2 linked regions of the Canis lupus familiaris genome follow. The protein of the gene in region 2 purifies or fractionates together with the protein of the main gene of each other region. This does not show direct contact. Links are inferred from orthologs where the notes say so. Each region holds a gene or a part of one and is shown on either strand. Other genes may lie near its edges.

The links. The genes of interacting proteins can lie anywhere in the genome.
Region 1: the proteins of MGRN1 (region 2) and MC1R purify together in Homo sapiens (affinity purification with western blotting; 3 studies listed by BioGRID). This does not show direct contact. The link is inferred for Canis lupus familiaris from reciprocal best matches to the Homo sapiens genes MGRN1 and MC1R.

Annotation. Positions count from the first base shown.
Region 1 is NC_049226.1:64,184,494-64,191,313, forward strand, and holds MC1R (melanocyte-stimulating hormone receptor), read right to left. Parts: upstream 3,151-6,820; coding exon 2,197-3,150; downstream 1-2,196. UniProt on the Homo sapiens protein: Receptor for MSH (alpha, beta and gamma) and ACTH. The activity of this receptor is mediated by G proteins which activate adenylate cyclase.
Region 2 is NC_049227.1:37,018,255-37,025,931, reverse strand, and holds part of MGRN1 (E3 ubiquitin-protein ligase MGRN1), read left to right. Parts: intron 1-351; coding exon 352-399; intron 400-1,005; coding exon 1,006-1,074; intron 1,075-2,354; coding exon 2,355-2,514; intron 2,515-4,387; coding exon 4,388-4,497; intron 4,498-4,971; coding exon 4,972-5,046; intron 5,047-6,656; coding exon 6,657-6,722; intron 6,723-7,677. UniProt on the Homo sapiens protein: E3 ubiquitin-protein ligase. Mediates monoubiquitination at multiple sites of TSG101 in the presence of UBE2D1, but not of UBE2G1, nor UBE2H. Plays a role in the regulation of endosome-to-lysosome trafficking.

The sequences.
Region 1 (6,820 bases), on a different chromosome or scaffold from region 2:
GGTCGTGCACAAGCCCCTCTTCCCCCGTCCCCCAAGCTCTCCAGTTTGGCTAGTCTAGAAATGGGTCTTTTGTTCTCAAGAGACACCCCTCCCCCACAATGTGTCCATGATGTGGCTTTCTGTGGTTGGCTTCCACTGCCTGGGGCCACTCCCTGTCCCCATTCAGGGGGTCCTTGGTGAGCATTTGGCTCTTCCCCGGAGCTGGCTGCACCTCCCCGTCTGAGCAAAGGAAGAAGCTTTGCAGCATCCAAGACCCATTACCCACATGCCCTGCCTCCCTGCGTGATGGCAGTGAGCCAGGCCAGTTCTCTCTCCATCCCCAGAGGGCTCTGGTGCCAGGTTCAAGGCTGACTCACTGTCTTGTCTCCCAGCAAAGGCTGGCCCTGCCGGGAACCAGCTCCTGGCATTGAGGCCAGCAGTCTGGGCTGAAGCTGCCAGCGTAGGTGGAGGCTGGCTGGGGCAGTGCTGGGGGTGGTTGGCCAGAGGCTGCAGAAGACTTTAGGCATTACTAGACCTGCCTTCAAATTGGCTGATACCATCACCCTTGCCACTGCCGAACCTGTATCAGGAAGGGGGTCGACTGTACACTCAGTATCTGTGGAGGAAACCAGGTGGGCTCTTCCATGAGAAACCCAGGTTTGTCACAGAAGGAGGACCCAAGGGCTTCCGGCAACAGGCAGCACAGTTTACCCGACGTGCACTCCTTCACGGCTTGGACTTGGACAGTCCCACTCCATTCTGGGAGGCCTCGCCTCGAACACTTCCCAGAGCTGGCTGAGCACTGACCTCCCTCTCCCAGGAGGGCAGTCGTGGGGGAAAGCAGCCCCCAACCCCTGGCACACCCTGGGGGCCCTGCTGTGTTCCTCAGAACAGACATGGAGGTCACATATGGGTCATGGTGGTCCTGCTTCTGCTGCCATCAAGGGCAGCCTGGACAGTGCTGAGTCATGTCACCTTGGAGGTGACTGGGGGCGGGGGTGGGGTGGGGGCAGCTGCTGTTCCTGTTTTTTTCTTTTTTTAAGATTCTTTATTTATTCATGATAGAGAGAGAGAGAGACAGAGAGACAGAGAGAGAGGCAGAGACATAGGCAGAGGGAGAAACAGGCTCCCTGCAGGATCCCGATGTGGGTCCAGGATCACCCTGGGCCAAAGGCAGGTGCTAAACCGCTGAGCCACCCAGGGATACCATTCCTGCTGCTTCTGACTCTGGTTGTTCTGAGCTGGGGTTTACACCAGGAAGAGAAAACTAAGACACAGGCCCAGAGTGGGTGTGATCAGGGGACCCCTACACTCTCTCCTTGGGCAGGGGCTCAGGCATTCAGGTGCTCTGGGGCTGTGGCTTCTTCAGCTAGGCAGACCCACCCTGGTTTCTGGGATTCACAGCTCCCTGTTCATCACCCTCAACCCCGCCCTTGCCCCCCCGCCCCGCCCCTCCAGTTGCAAGCAATTTCCCAAAGGACGCAAAGCGGATGGTGATGTGTCTGCACCAGACACAGCATTTATTACCAGACTGCTTCCCAGCTTCCCAGCCCTGAGACCCTGGGCACCAGTCACTGATTCGGGCTGACGACCTCTGCCTTGGCCTGAGCAGGCACTGACCAACACTGTCTGGTGGGTACATGCGGTGCATGTGCACACAGTTGGGTCACCAGCTCTCTGGTTACCAGTGGACTTTAGATCAGCCCTACCCTCCACTGCAGCTCCTGTAGACAGTCCCTGTGCCTGCAACAGGAGCTCACTTCTTCCCGAAGCAGTCCTGTGAGGACTGGCTGGTCACAAAGTCCTTTTCCTGGAGGCCTTCCCGAGAGCAGTACTTGTCATGCTACCAACACTGAGACTTCACATCCCAACGGGCAGGGGCCCAAATCTCCAGACCTGGCAGCAAAGGTGGGTGTGTGCAGGCCTTGCCTGGTCCCTGGGTGGAGAAGGAACTCTCCAGGAGCAGCCAGAGATGCTGTCCAGTAGTCCCGGACCTGGCTCTCGTGTCTGTGGCCCCACCATCTCCCCAGCCTGCTCCATTCTCCACAGCAACTCCTGGAGATTTTTGTTTATTCCTTTCTCTGGCCCCAGAGGGTCCATGCATCCACCACACCACAGATCAGCTCATCTGTCCTTTTCTGCAAGTGACTGCCCCAGTCACATGGGTATCAATCACCACCCCCCTCTGCCCAGCACCCTGGCCTCAAGCCTGCAGCCTCACCAGGAACATAGCACTACCTCTTGGAGAGTCTTTCGGAGCTCCTGGCTGCGGAAGGCGTAGATGAAGGGGTCAATGATGGAGTTGCAGATGATGAGGGTGAGGAAGAGGTTGAAGTTCTGAAAGACGCAGCCACAGATGGGGTGTTGAGGGCAGAGGACCACGAGTGAGAGGTGCAAGAAGAAGGGGCCCCAGCAGAGAAAGAAAATGCCCAGCAGGATAGTGAGTGTGGCAGCGCCCTTGAGGCCAAAGCCCTGGGGGATGAAGTGCTGCCTCTTATGGAGCCGGGCAATACCTCGGGCGTGCTGGCAGGCGCGGGCAAGCATGTGGACGTACAGCACTGCCATGAGCACCAGCATGGCTACAAAGAAGCTGACAAGACAAAGCAGGACGGCCGTGTGATTGTAGTAGGCAATGAAGAGCGTGCTGGAGAGGACGCTAGCCACCCAGATAGCGGAGATGGCCCGCCACGCCCGCGGGAGTGTGACGATGCTGTGGTATCGCAGCGCGTAGAAGATGGAGAGGTAGCGGTCCACGGCAATGGCGCCCAGGAAGCAGAGGCTGGATACCATGGAACCACAGATGAGCACGTCAATGATGTCGTCCAGCTGCTGCACCACAGCAGCCTGAGCAGCCAAGGCGCCTGCCGCCACCAGCAGCATGACGGCCGTCTCCAGCACATTGCTCACGCTCACCAGCAGGTCGGACACAGCCAGGCAACCGATGAAGTAATACATGGGCGAGTGCAGGTTGCGGTTCTTGGCAATGGCGGCCACCACCAGCACATTTTCCACAACGCTCACCAGCCCCAGGCTGAGGAACAGCCCGTCGGGAATGGACACCTCCAGGCACCGGGGCCCGGTCTGGTTGGCAGCCAGCTCGAAGTGAGGGGTGGCTGGGGAGGTGCCATTGAGAGAGCCCAGCAGCCTTCTCTGGGGGCCCTGCCCAGACATGGTCCCAGCAGGGAGCAGAGCAGGGTCCTCGCTCTCAGGTGTCTCGCTCAGCTCATGGTGCCACCAGCAGGGCCTGTCTGTCCTCCAGGGCCGCCCTCACATTTGCCCTCTCCCGGTCTGTACAAGTGTCAGCTCAGCAATGACCAGCCAGAGAGAGTCCAGCTTCCTGACAGAGCAGTCGCTTCCCAGCCCGGACCCCAACCCTCTAGTCTCTTTGGACCCCTCGACCCTCAGCCCACCTCCCCACCTCTTCCATGGAGGGGCAGTTGCTCAGGTTCAGACGTACGTTTCTATCTTCTTGCTGCCTCATGGCGGCTCAGGGCTCCCGCTTTCCCAGGCCTGGAGGGGGCTGAGGTCCCACTCCAGAAAGAATGAAGCCTTTCTCCACATCTTTAAAGGCTCCGGAGCCCCTCCTCCTGAGGTGGCCACGTGATGGGCGTGCACCCGGGATGCATGCATCGGAGAGAACCCACTGCACCCTCCAGGCAGCACAAATGGCACCCAGGGCTATCCTGGCTCCAAGGACGTTGGACGCTGGGGCTCAGCTGGATGTGTGCCCCCTCACCTGGCTCCGCTCCCAGTGTCTGCCTATGTGGGGTTCCCTAAATATACTGCAAACAGCACCTCCTCTTGGGAACTGTCTGATCTCTGACCACCCACCTGATGCCACCCTGCCTAGATACAGTCACTGGCTGCTGACCACTCATCCCCAGCTTGAACCCCTAACTCCCTACCTCATGTTAGACACTAAGGGCAGCCCCTGCTCCTGAGGACCCCCACCCCCTTCACTGAGCCCTGCTGGAGGGCATCCTGGTCACGTCAGGGTCAGGCCCTTGCTCTGCCTCATCCTACAGTGGGGGAGGGGGAGGACCCCGACAGCCACCACTTCCTCTGCATAAGAAACCACTTCAAGGGCAAACCTCGGGTCTCCAGCCACATGGTGTACTGAGCAAGCCACAGGGAAGCTAAGAGTGGCCTGTGGGCACCTACTCCCAGCACTTTCTCACTAAAGACTGTGATTTTGTGATTTCTCCTCTGTGGAGGCTGGCGGGGGTGGGGGGGGGCGGAGATCTATTTGTTGGTAGGTGGAGAAAACCTGAGGCAACAAGAAAGGCAAGGGACTGGCTTGGTGGTGGTGGCGGAGATAGAGTTGAAGGTGGTGGAGGTGATGGAGGTGGCGGGGGTAGAGGTGGTGGTGGTGGTGCAGGAGACGTAAGAGGAAGCTGGGAGGGTGGTTGCAGTGTCTGCAGTGTCATCTGTGACATTCCTGTTCAAGCCCACGCTCTCATCCACTCTGATGCCAGCACACCCACATGTGTGATCACACAGTCATAACCACTCATAAATATCATCCCTTACATCTGCATCGCTCAGCAAGGCGGCTTCCCCCCCTTGGACGGTGCTTCTTATTGAAGTACATCATACATAAAAGTACACAAACTGTAAATATGCAGGTTAGTGGATGTCCCAACCTTAACAGCCAGGAAAGCAGCATCCAGACCAAAAAATAAAATGTGAATTACCCGAGAACACCTAGGGCATCCGCTCACCCTGGGAGTCATTCCCTGACCACTGGTTCATTTTACCTATTTTATTTTTTTAATTTTTAAAAAACTTAAAAAAATTTTTTTTAAGATTTTATTTATTTATTCATCAGAGAGAGAGGGAGAGAGGGAGAGAGAGAGAGGGAGGCAGAGACACAGGCAGAGGGAGAAACAGGCTCCATGCCAGGAGCCCAACGTGGGACTCGATCTCGGGTCTCCAGGATCACACCCTGGGCTGAAGGCGGCGCTAAACTGCTAAGCCACCAGGGCTGCCAATTTTACCTATTTTAGAATTCAGGTTGTGCCTTTCTTTGCACTCAGATATCCTTGTGGTGTGTGTAGCGGTCTTCAAGAATACAGACCACACTGGGAATCTCCCGTCTGTTACAGACAGTACTTGCTGGCTGTTCCTGTCCCATCTTATGGTGGACATAGGCCAAGTGTGTCCACATGGTGACATGGAGTGGACTTGTTCCTCTGTTGCTGACAGGACACGAGCACCACCCCCGCCTCCCCCTATAGGAGATGAAGACAACCCACACCCACAGGCACCAGCCACAGGATAGGCCCACACACTGAGCTTCCCCTTCCAGCTTTTTGCCTTTTGTGGACTTGGCATCTTCCCATTCTGTTGTCCTGATGGGAGAACCCCAGAGGGAGCAAAGGGTCCTGGGACTAGCACCACAGCTGTCCATCACCAAGGACCACCTTCCCTCTAGAGGGGGCACCTCGCCCCCAGCTCCTGTGTCAGCACACTGCAGGGACGGTATTTCCAGCTCCATAAATGAGGCCTTTGAGACGGATGTGCCCACCCCCCCCGCCCCCGCATGAGACTTCAAAGAGCGTGAGAACTGGATAACCTCTTCCTGGTGAGGCCTCGAGACTCCCCATCTGGTTCTGATGTGCCCGTTGGGGACTTCTTGGGAAGAAGACACTCAACTTCGTGATTAGTTATGGTTATGAGGGAAATGTCTAAATGAAATCACAGATCATCTGAAGGCCAATTCTATCAACTTGATCTCTAGTGCTCCTGGGAGACACGGAGAAGGGCCAGGAGACAGGTGGTGGACATGAGAGGGTATCAACATGAGAGGATGGGCCTGACCCATCTGTGAGGAGGCTGAGAGAACAAGAGTCGCTCAGTGGCTGTCTCCAGTACCAAGAACAGTTGAGTGCCAGTTGCACACGAGGCCCGCAACATGGGAGCATTCAATGTGTAAATGACCTTCATGTGGGAGCTGAAGTGTAAATGGCCTCTCACTGCAGAGACCAGTGAGATCAGTGTCTAGCCATGGCCACACCAGGAGGCCCTGCTTCCTTCATGGAGGTCCTCCCAGGGCCAGTCAGGAGACACAGCAGCCCTCCTACCCTCCACCCCCCCCAGCAGCCATGTGGGGTATACAGCTCGCTCCTCCTGGATCTTGTCATCGTGGGATCTCAGGAAGACCCAGCCCAGAGCTGAGTCACCATGAAGTCTTTGAACTCAGTGAGGGGAACACCTTGTGTGCCCTACCTGTGGTGTCTGCCCTAAAGACCCTGAGGTAGGGCCTGACTTGGTGGGAAAGAGCATAAACTATTAGCAATCTGTCCACGGGCAGCAGGAGGCCTGGGAAGAGCCAATTCACCTTTGCCTGGACACTGGGTGGCAAGGCAAGCCTTCAGAGCAGATGTTCAGATTTGAAAAAGGTGGCTGTCTTTTCATCTCCATGGAAACAGAGCTACAAGTAATGACCTAACCCAAGAGGTTTAGCTGAGCACTGATGATTTAATAATCTCTTGGGACAGCAGGCCCAGAAGTGAGCAGTTTCACCAGTCTGGGCCCAGCCTCTCTTTGCCTATCTCTAGGACACTGGCTCTTCATTTTGAGGGTCAGCAACTCCTGATCGTAAAATGGCTGCTGCAGCTCCGGATATCACAATCCCATCTGGTTGTATTTAAGGCTGGATGATGCAGAGTACCAAGTTCTTCTTGCTTGCCTGTCATTATCAGAGGACCAACCCCTTTCTGGGGGAACCCAGTAGACTCCTATCCTGTTGGCTGAAGCTTATCGCAGGATACCCTAGTGGGAGACATGTAGATCTAGGATAGTCTGGGATTATCTCAATCATACCCAATCCCACCCAGCA
Region 2 (7,677 bases):
GTGCACAGTCTTCTCAGTGAAGCCAAGCCCTTTGGGGTTAGAAGTGGGCTGTGTCACTTCTTGCCGTCCAGGTACTGCTGCTTGCTGTTGGGGGGCTCTGGTCCCTGTCAGAACTTGCCCAGTGGTCATAAACCTGACTGAGCTTGAGAACTGCCTGGAGAGTTGGGTTACCTGGGTCAGGCGGTACTCCCGGTAGTTTCAAGGCCCAGTCAGAGGGCCACGTTTGGAGAGACCTGGCCGGGCCCTGTCCTTCCGCTGTGGATGTGGAATGGCTGAGGAAGGGCCTTCAGCCTGCCAGGCGGGGCTGCTAAGTGGTACCAGCTTGTAACTCTGTGTCTTTCTCCCTGGTAGCACGTCGATGGCAGCTTCTCTGTGAAACCTTTAAAGCAGAAGCAAATTGTAAGTCTGGTAGGAGAAACATTGTGACCTCTTTTGATATTAAAGGCCCTCAAACACACTCAATGTCCAGAGTTGTCATCTGGGCTCTGGAAAGTCCGAATCTGCCCCTCTGTGCATGCGTGCGCCCACCACATCCCAGTATTGACTCGTAGCCCAAGTTTCGCCCAGCTCGGTGAGGAGGGTTCGACCTCCTTAGGGCTAGGTGGGAAATGCAGCTCAGACTGCTTTTGAGCACGGTGACGTGTGGTCACTCTTGTGCAGCTGTGATGGGTGGTTCAAAGTGGCTTTTCCCTGGGGAGGGGGAGGGTAGGTGGAGAGGGTATGCTTGCCTGGCCCGAGTGGAGGTTGGCTCCATGCCCCTCGGTGAGCAGAACCTTGGGCCCCCAGCCCCTGCCCTTCTGCCTGTGTCACTCACTGGGCTGGGCTGGGCCAGGTATGCTCCTCCTGGCCCCGGGCCCACTCGCTGAGGTGCAGGTGGGCAGAATTTCAAACCACACCTGCTCTGGGACCCAGGCCTGGCCCCTGGGAAGTGGTGTTGGGCCAGGGGGGTGCAGCGGGGCTTCCGAATGGGGCCGGCCAGTGCCCGGATACCTCTGTGTTCTCTAGGTGGACCGGGTCAGCTACCTGCTGCAGGAGATCTACGGCATCGAGAACAAGAACAACCAGGAGACCAAGGTTTGCGCTGGTGGCGACCTTGGCTGGGACTGTGGGTGGACCTCACTCTCATCTTCCCTTCCACCTGCCCGGGAGCCGGCTCCTGGAGGGGCTTGCCTGAAACCCCCAGCCCTGGCCCTGGCCCCGTGGGCTAGTCCCCTGTGTGCCTTCCCCAGGGGGCCCCAGGACCCCAGACTCCAGGTTTCTTTAACTTTTCAAAGGCTTTCACAGAGAAGGGCAACCTGGGTGGCTGGGTCAGTGAGTGTGCAGCCCTTGATCTTGGGATTGTAAGTTTGAGCCCCATGTTGGCTGTTGAGATTACTTAAAGATCATAATAATAGTAATGAATGAATAAATAGAAGAGTTAACAGAGCCTATGGGGCATTTTATTCTTTTTCCAACAAATTCCCTGGCTTATTAACATCTTTGGGTTGCCAGCCATTGTGTGGACAGGGACAGCCTGGTGTGTGGGGCCCCTTCCCACCCCCTTGGGGTGAGCTCTAGTGGCCCCCGCCAGCGGCACCCCCCCCCCCAGGCCCCCAGCCCCGAGCCCTCTGCACACCTGTGGCCAAAGCGTGTGGCTGACGGAGCTGTGGTCTGGCGAGCATCGGCCTGTGCCTTTGTCATCATTTGAAAGGCACGAGTGACACTGCCATCTCTTAAACGTTTCTGGAAGTCTTAAACGCAAGCCTCTGTGACAGCTGGGACCGGCTGAAAGCCGGAAGTCAGGGCACTTTGGTCAGGCCCTTAGTCTCGGAGTGTTCTCTGCGTGCTTCATGTGTCAGCACCCCCTTCCACAAACAGCCTGGTGGTATGTGTTGTCACCTTCAGTGGCCATGTGGCGTCTGTCATGCCTGTTCAGTGCCCTGATTTTACAGATTGCACACAAGCAGCATTGCCGTTTGGAAACCAAGGGGCAAGGCTGGGTTCCGGTAAAACTTGATTTACAGAAACAGCTGGTGGGGCTGTAGTTTGCTCTTTTACAGGGTTGTCGTCTCTTGATCCAGACACTCATTTTGATTAGACAAGGTGGACTTGTCTGATTTTTTTCAGTTTCAACCCAGTATGTGGGCACCCTCTGTAAGACATGCCTGTACTGTGGCCTTTCCACGCTGCTCTGTGGTTCTGGGGAATAGGAGGAAACCTGGGTTTTCTTGGTTTGGTGTGTGTGTTGGGGGCAGGCACGAGCCGGGTCTGAGCTCTGGGCCGTGTCCCCTGAAGATGGGAACACCTCCCTGCCCTGGCCTCTGCCTGTGGCCCTGGGGAGCCCGCTGACACTCGGACCCTCCGTGTCCCCGCAGCCCTCGGACGAGGAGAATAGCGACAACAGCAACGAGTGTGTGGTGTGCCTGTCGGACCTGCGGGACACGCTGATCCTGCCCTGCCGGCACCTCTGCCTGTGTAACTCGTGTGCGGACACGCTGCGCTACCAGGCCAGCAACTGCCCCATCTGCCGGCTGCGTGAGTGGGGCCAGGGCTAGGGGGCTGCGGGCTGTCGCCTCCTGCCCCGGGCACAGCGAGTGGGACGTGTACTTGGTGCAGGTGGTCAGTACCCCTGGCAACCGTGCTGGCACATGTGCGGCTCACGTCCCCGAACATTAGACTTCGGGAGTTAACGGCAGGAACGGTGCCAGGGCAGGTGCTTGCCGTGAACTTGGAACGGGACAGAAAGTGGCCTGTGAATCACACCTTTAAGTGTTACGTGGACAATATTTTGATTGTAAAAAAACAGTCCTGGTGAGGTGGACAGCCGACAGGAGTTCGTTTCCAGGAGCACTCCAGACGTTTTCTCAAAGTTAATTCTGAATCAGGTGTTCGTCCTCCAGTGGAAGGAATCCAGACATTCTCAGGGCAGAAGATCCCGCTGGATCGAAATGAGCGTCCAGCCAGTGGGCGGGTCCCAGCAGTGAAGGGCCAGGGCTGTAGGGGGAGAGCCCGCCCTGGACTCCGGGGGTTTTCAGTTGTCGGGAGCTGACGGCTTTTTGGAGAAAGTCTTCGTGCCATTTCACACCTTGGTGTGCCTGTCAGCCTCCAGGGCAGCCTGGGGGTACCCGTGCCTCAGCCCGCGCTCCTGTACCAGCATCCGGCTGTGTGGCCCGGACTGCTTTACACGCTTGTCTCGTCAGTATCTTGGGGCTCAGAGGGAGCCTGTCCAGGGTCACAGCTGGTAAGGGGCAGGGTTGGGTCTAAACTAGTGGTGAGGTGTGTGCAGGGGTCGTGGGGTAGGCTGAGCGTGTGGAAGTGGAGGGGGAGGCTGTGGGGTCTGGGCGGTCCGGAGTCCAGCCCTGATGAGACCTCAGGGCTTGCAGGGGTGGCCGCAGGGGGTCTGTGTGCTGGCCCTAGAGGGACAGGCAGCAGGCCGGGTAGCCTCTCCTGGGTGAGGAACAGGCTGGGAGCAGGAGCTGAATGCCAGCCTTCCCCAGGGGCCCTGTGTCTGGTGTTCTCAGGTGCGGCATGGTGTGACGGCCCAGGGGCCCAGATGGGCTAGGGCATGGGCCCCTGGCAGGTGTGGGGGGCACTTGGGCTGGGTGAGCTGGGCCAGGGCCCTTGTCTCTGAGGCCTGCAGCTTGGGGCAGCCACCATCAGCGCTAGAGATGTGGGTGTCACTAGCAGGTGCTGGGACAGTGTGCAGCTGTTTACCGTGTGTGACCTGTGCTTTTCATAAACGTTACGCTGTTTTTTTTGTCTTTAAGATTTTATTTATTTATTCATGAGATAGAGAGAGAGAGGCAGAGACACAGGCAGAGGGAGAAGCAGGCTCCCTGCAAGGAGCCTGATGTGGGACTCGATCCCAGTACCCTGGGATCACACAGTGAGCCAAAGGCAGATGCTCAACCACTGAGCCCCCCAGGTACCCCAGCATTACACTCTTATTAGGGACACTGATCAGGGTGACCAGTAGCTTGGTCCTAATTTATTTTCCCAATTCTTGCTGCTTCTGGTTTTGTGGTGTAGAGATTGTGCTGTTAGGGACATTCGCATATGTATGTTTGCCTGTCCTTGGTGTAACTTCCGGGAGGAGATACCTGGTCGCCAGGAATGATGCCGCCACCACATTCAAGGGTGTAGTCCCGGGTTTGGCATGTGTGAGGCTGGTGGCACCCTCCCTGCTGCCCTGGAAGCTCCACCTGAACTGGGTAGTGCACTCCTGGGCTCCCGTCTCCCCTCTGGGGCGGTTTGGTGATCACTCTGTTTTGCCTCTGATTTGGAAATGTGGCTTGTCCTAGGACCACTGTGGGTGGGTGGGTGGCCGGTGGCCCCGGGGCTTAAAGGGCCTCCGTGGTTCCGGAACTGGCTGCCCCTTGCCTGATGGGAGCCCTTCCCTCTGCCACAGCTTTCCGGGCCCTTCTGCAGATCCGGGCAGTGAGGAAGAAGCCGGGAGCCCTGTCCCCCGTCTCCTTCAGCCCTGTCCTGGCCCAGAGCATGGACCACGATGAACATTCAGTAAGTGCCTCTTTCTTCTGTGCTGTGGAGTGGAGGCCAGAGAACAGGGGGTTTCTGCAGGAAGCCCCTGCCCATTTTTAGTCTCTCAGTCCGGACGCCCTCAGGCTTTACCCTTCATGTTAGGACAGCTTCGGCTTCCCAGTGGGGCCGCATTGGTCAGAGGCCCTGGGCCTGTGGCCAGAAGGAAGGGCATGGCCAGGCTGTCTGCTTCTCACTGCCTGCCGGCTCTCTGGGCCTCCGTCCTCATCTGGCCGAATGGGGTGACCCAGGCTGGGCCCAGGGAGCCCCGGGTCCTGAGAGTATTGTTGTTTTTGCCGAGAGCAAAGGCCATCTGACGGCACGCAACCCTCCATTGAGTTTGAATGTCTGTCACCATCATTCTACCAGGCCAGATAGCCAGGGCCACCATATGGGTCCTAGGAGCTGAGGTCTCACCCAGTGGGTGACTATGATCTGTCCTCTCTGTCCACTGAGGGGGGCTGCCCAGCCTGGACACAGGAGAGCGCCTTGGCAGCCACCTACCTCACTTGCTTCCTGGGAAACCGCGAGGTGAGCTTGTTGCACGCAAAGGAGGGGAGACAGACTCAGGCTTCAGGGAGAGAGATGGCTGTCTGGGTCAAGACATCGGCAGAAGATGGAGAGAGATGTAGAGACACAGAAAGAGAAGCAGAGACAGACATGGATAGAGATGAGCAGAGACACAGTCACAGAGACATGGGGAGAGACACATGCAGAGAGGCACTGGGAGAGACACAGAGGAGACACAGACGGGGATGGGACTAGAAAAGTAGGTGCCGAGACACGGCAGAGAGGCACAGCAGAGACAGGAGGGGCTGGCCCAGGTCTTGAGCTCCCAGCCCCGCCCCCGCCCGGCCACAGCCATTGTCTGCCGGTGAGTCTGATGTTGGGATTCAGTGATTCTCAGAGGGAAAGGACCCAAACCCTGTGGTTCGCACACCCGCAAGATGGGCTTCTGCGCTGGTGAGTGTCCCATGTTGGGCCTGTGCAGTGTGTGTGAATATTGGGCCAGTGTTTAAAGGCTGGAAATTTTCCATAAGACTCAGATTTCTGGCTTCTCTTTCAAAATCTGAAGGTCTGGTCTTGCAGCTCAAGCTGATGCAAGGCTGCCTCGGAGGTGGGGTCCCCATCACCCCCACTTTTCCAGGCCAGCCTGGAAATACACAAAATACACTTTTCCAGTGTATTTTGCCTGCTGGGCCCCTGTTGGCATCAGGGCTTACTACTCCCGAAACGGCCCTCCAGTGTATTTAATATTGGGCTTGACTGAGGAACACGGAACATTTTCTCCAGCCATGCAGTTTTAGTAGAGAGAGAAGTTAGCAGTGAGATATGATTTGTTCCTGGGAGAGGAGGGGTGCTCAGGGGTGGACGGTGGGTTTTCTTGTTGCCTGTGTGTGCCCTTCCCAGGCTCTGCCCTGGAGTCTGAGCGGCCGGCCTAACCTTCCCATGTCTGTCCCTCTTATCCAGAGAGTGCCGAGATGGCTCTCACACTACAGGGCGGCCCTGGGTTTGGGTTGTGAGCTTCCCATGCTCCAGAGGGCCGGTGCCTTCCCCTCCAGAGAGTTAAGATAGCCAAATAACGGGCTCTGGTTCTCCACCATGTTCCCTGAATGAGCAATTTGCACCTAGTGGTGTGGAGAACCCAAATTTTCTTCAGTGAGACCTTTACGGTCATTGAGGAATGGGGGTGATTTAGGGCTGATTTTTCTCCCCAGCTTCCTTTAGGAGTTGGACATTGGTGATGAGTTTATGAGACAGTGGCAGACCTCATAGAAGTACGGGGTGGGGTGTCCCTTTCTCGTGCCCAGCGGGGCCCACTTGTGAGGAGCACCTGGCTAGCCTCCTGCCTGTGCTGGCCAGGACCTGCTTCTCGGGGTAACCCAGACGACGGTGGCCAGTGGGACAGGGATGGGCTCTACCAGCGGCATTGCTTCTGGGAGTTGCAAAGATGCCCAGGCCCAGGCCCTACAGAATGTGCACTTGGCCAGGTCCCCAGACCTCATGTGCAGGTTCAGTTTGCCAGGCACAGGCTCACGGCACACCCAGAGGCCAGCAAGCCCGAGACACGCCCCAGCCAGCCAGCTCCAGTGCGGTTTGGGGGATGGCAGTTGTAAAACATATGATTTTTATCTTGACAGTGTCCCTTTAAAAAATCAAAGGCGCACCCCGCCTCACTGGCCAGCAAGAAACCTAAAAGGGAAACAGTAAGTGTGTTTGGCCCTGTGGCCACATCTTTGCCCCGCACCCTGATGATTAAACCAATGACAAGTATGGGAAATCATTTTCACCCCAGGCTAACGTGTTTGGTTAATTTAATCTGTCAAATCCACTCTCCCCAGTCCCGGCGTCCCTGCCCAGGAAGGGAGTTTTGTGGAACAAGCAAAGCTCAAGGTCTGTCGGCAAAAAGCCAGTGTCTTGGATCCCCGCTGCCAGGCGGCAACAGCGCCGGCCTCGGGCTGCCCCTTCTCGCCAGCTCTGCTTCTGCCCGTGGTCCCCAATGGCCTCGTTTCCCTTTTTTTTCTTGCTGGCAGTGGAATGATGTTGGAGGTGGAACTCACTCACCTTGCTTCTAGTTTTTGCAAACAGTCTTCCTCGCGCTTGCTTGTCATCCTGCATCCCCTGCTCTGTCCACCTTGGATGTTAGCTCTTTGGGTCAAGGACTTGGTTTCCTTGCATTTTCCCTGCATCTCAGGGAGCAGGCGGGGGCCTCTGCCTGGAGCCTCTACTGACCCCCATGGCCCCTCAGCAGAACTTAGAGCGGCGGAGGTCACGGGAGGGCCAACCCAGAGAGAGGCTTTTTTCCTCTTTGGAGGATGAGGAGGTTCAAAGCAATTACTGACCTTTCAGTGGAAGGCAGGCTGGGAGCGGATACAGGGCAGCACGGGCCAGGTGGCCAGGGCACTCGGGGAAGCTCTGCCTGGCCCTTCTGCCTTTCCTGGTCCGCAGGGCTGTTCCGTCCCTGAAAGGCAGCTCTCCCTTCCTCCCAGCAGAGCGGGCAGGCGGGCGGGGGTTCACAGTGGGAGCACTGCAGGGCATTGGTCCCTTGCCTTGTCTAGTGAGAGCGAGGCGGGGGGGCTGTCCTGCCTGCGCAGTGGCCTGGGGACCTCACGTCTTCAGCACCCGGGCATCTCCCCACACCTTAACTCTAAAGCAGGACTC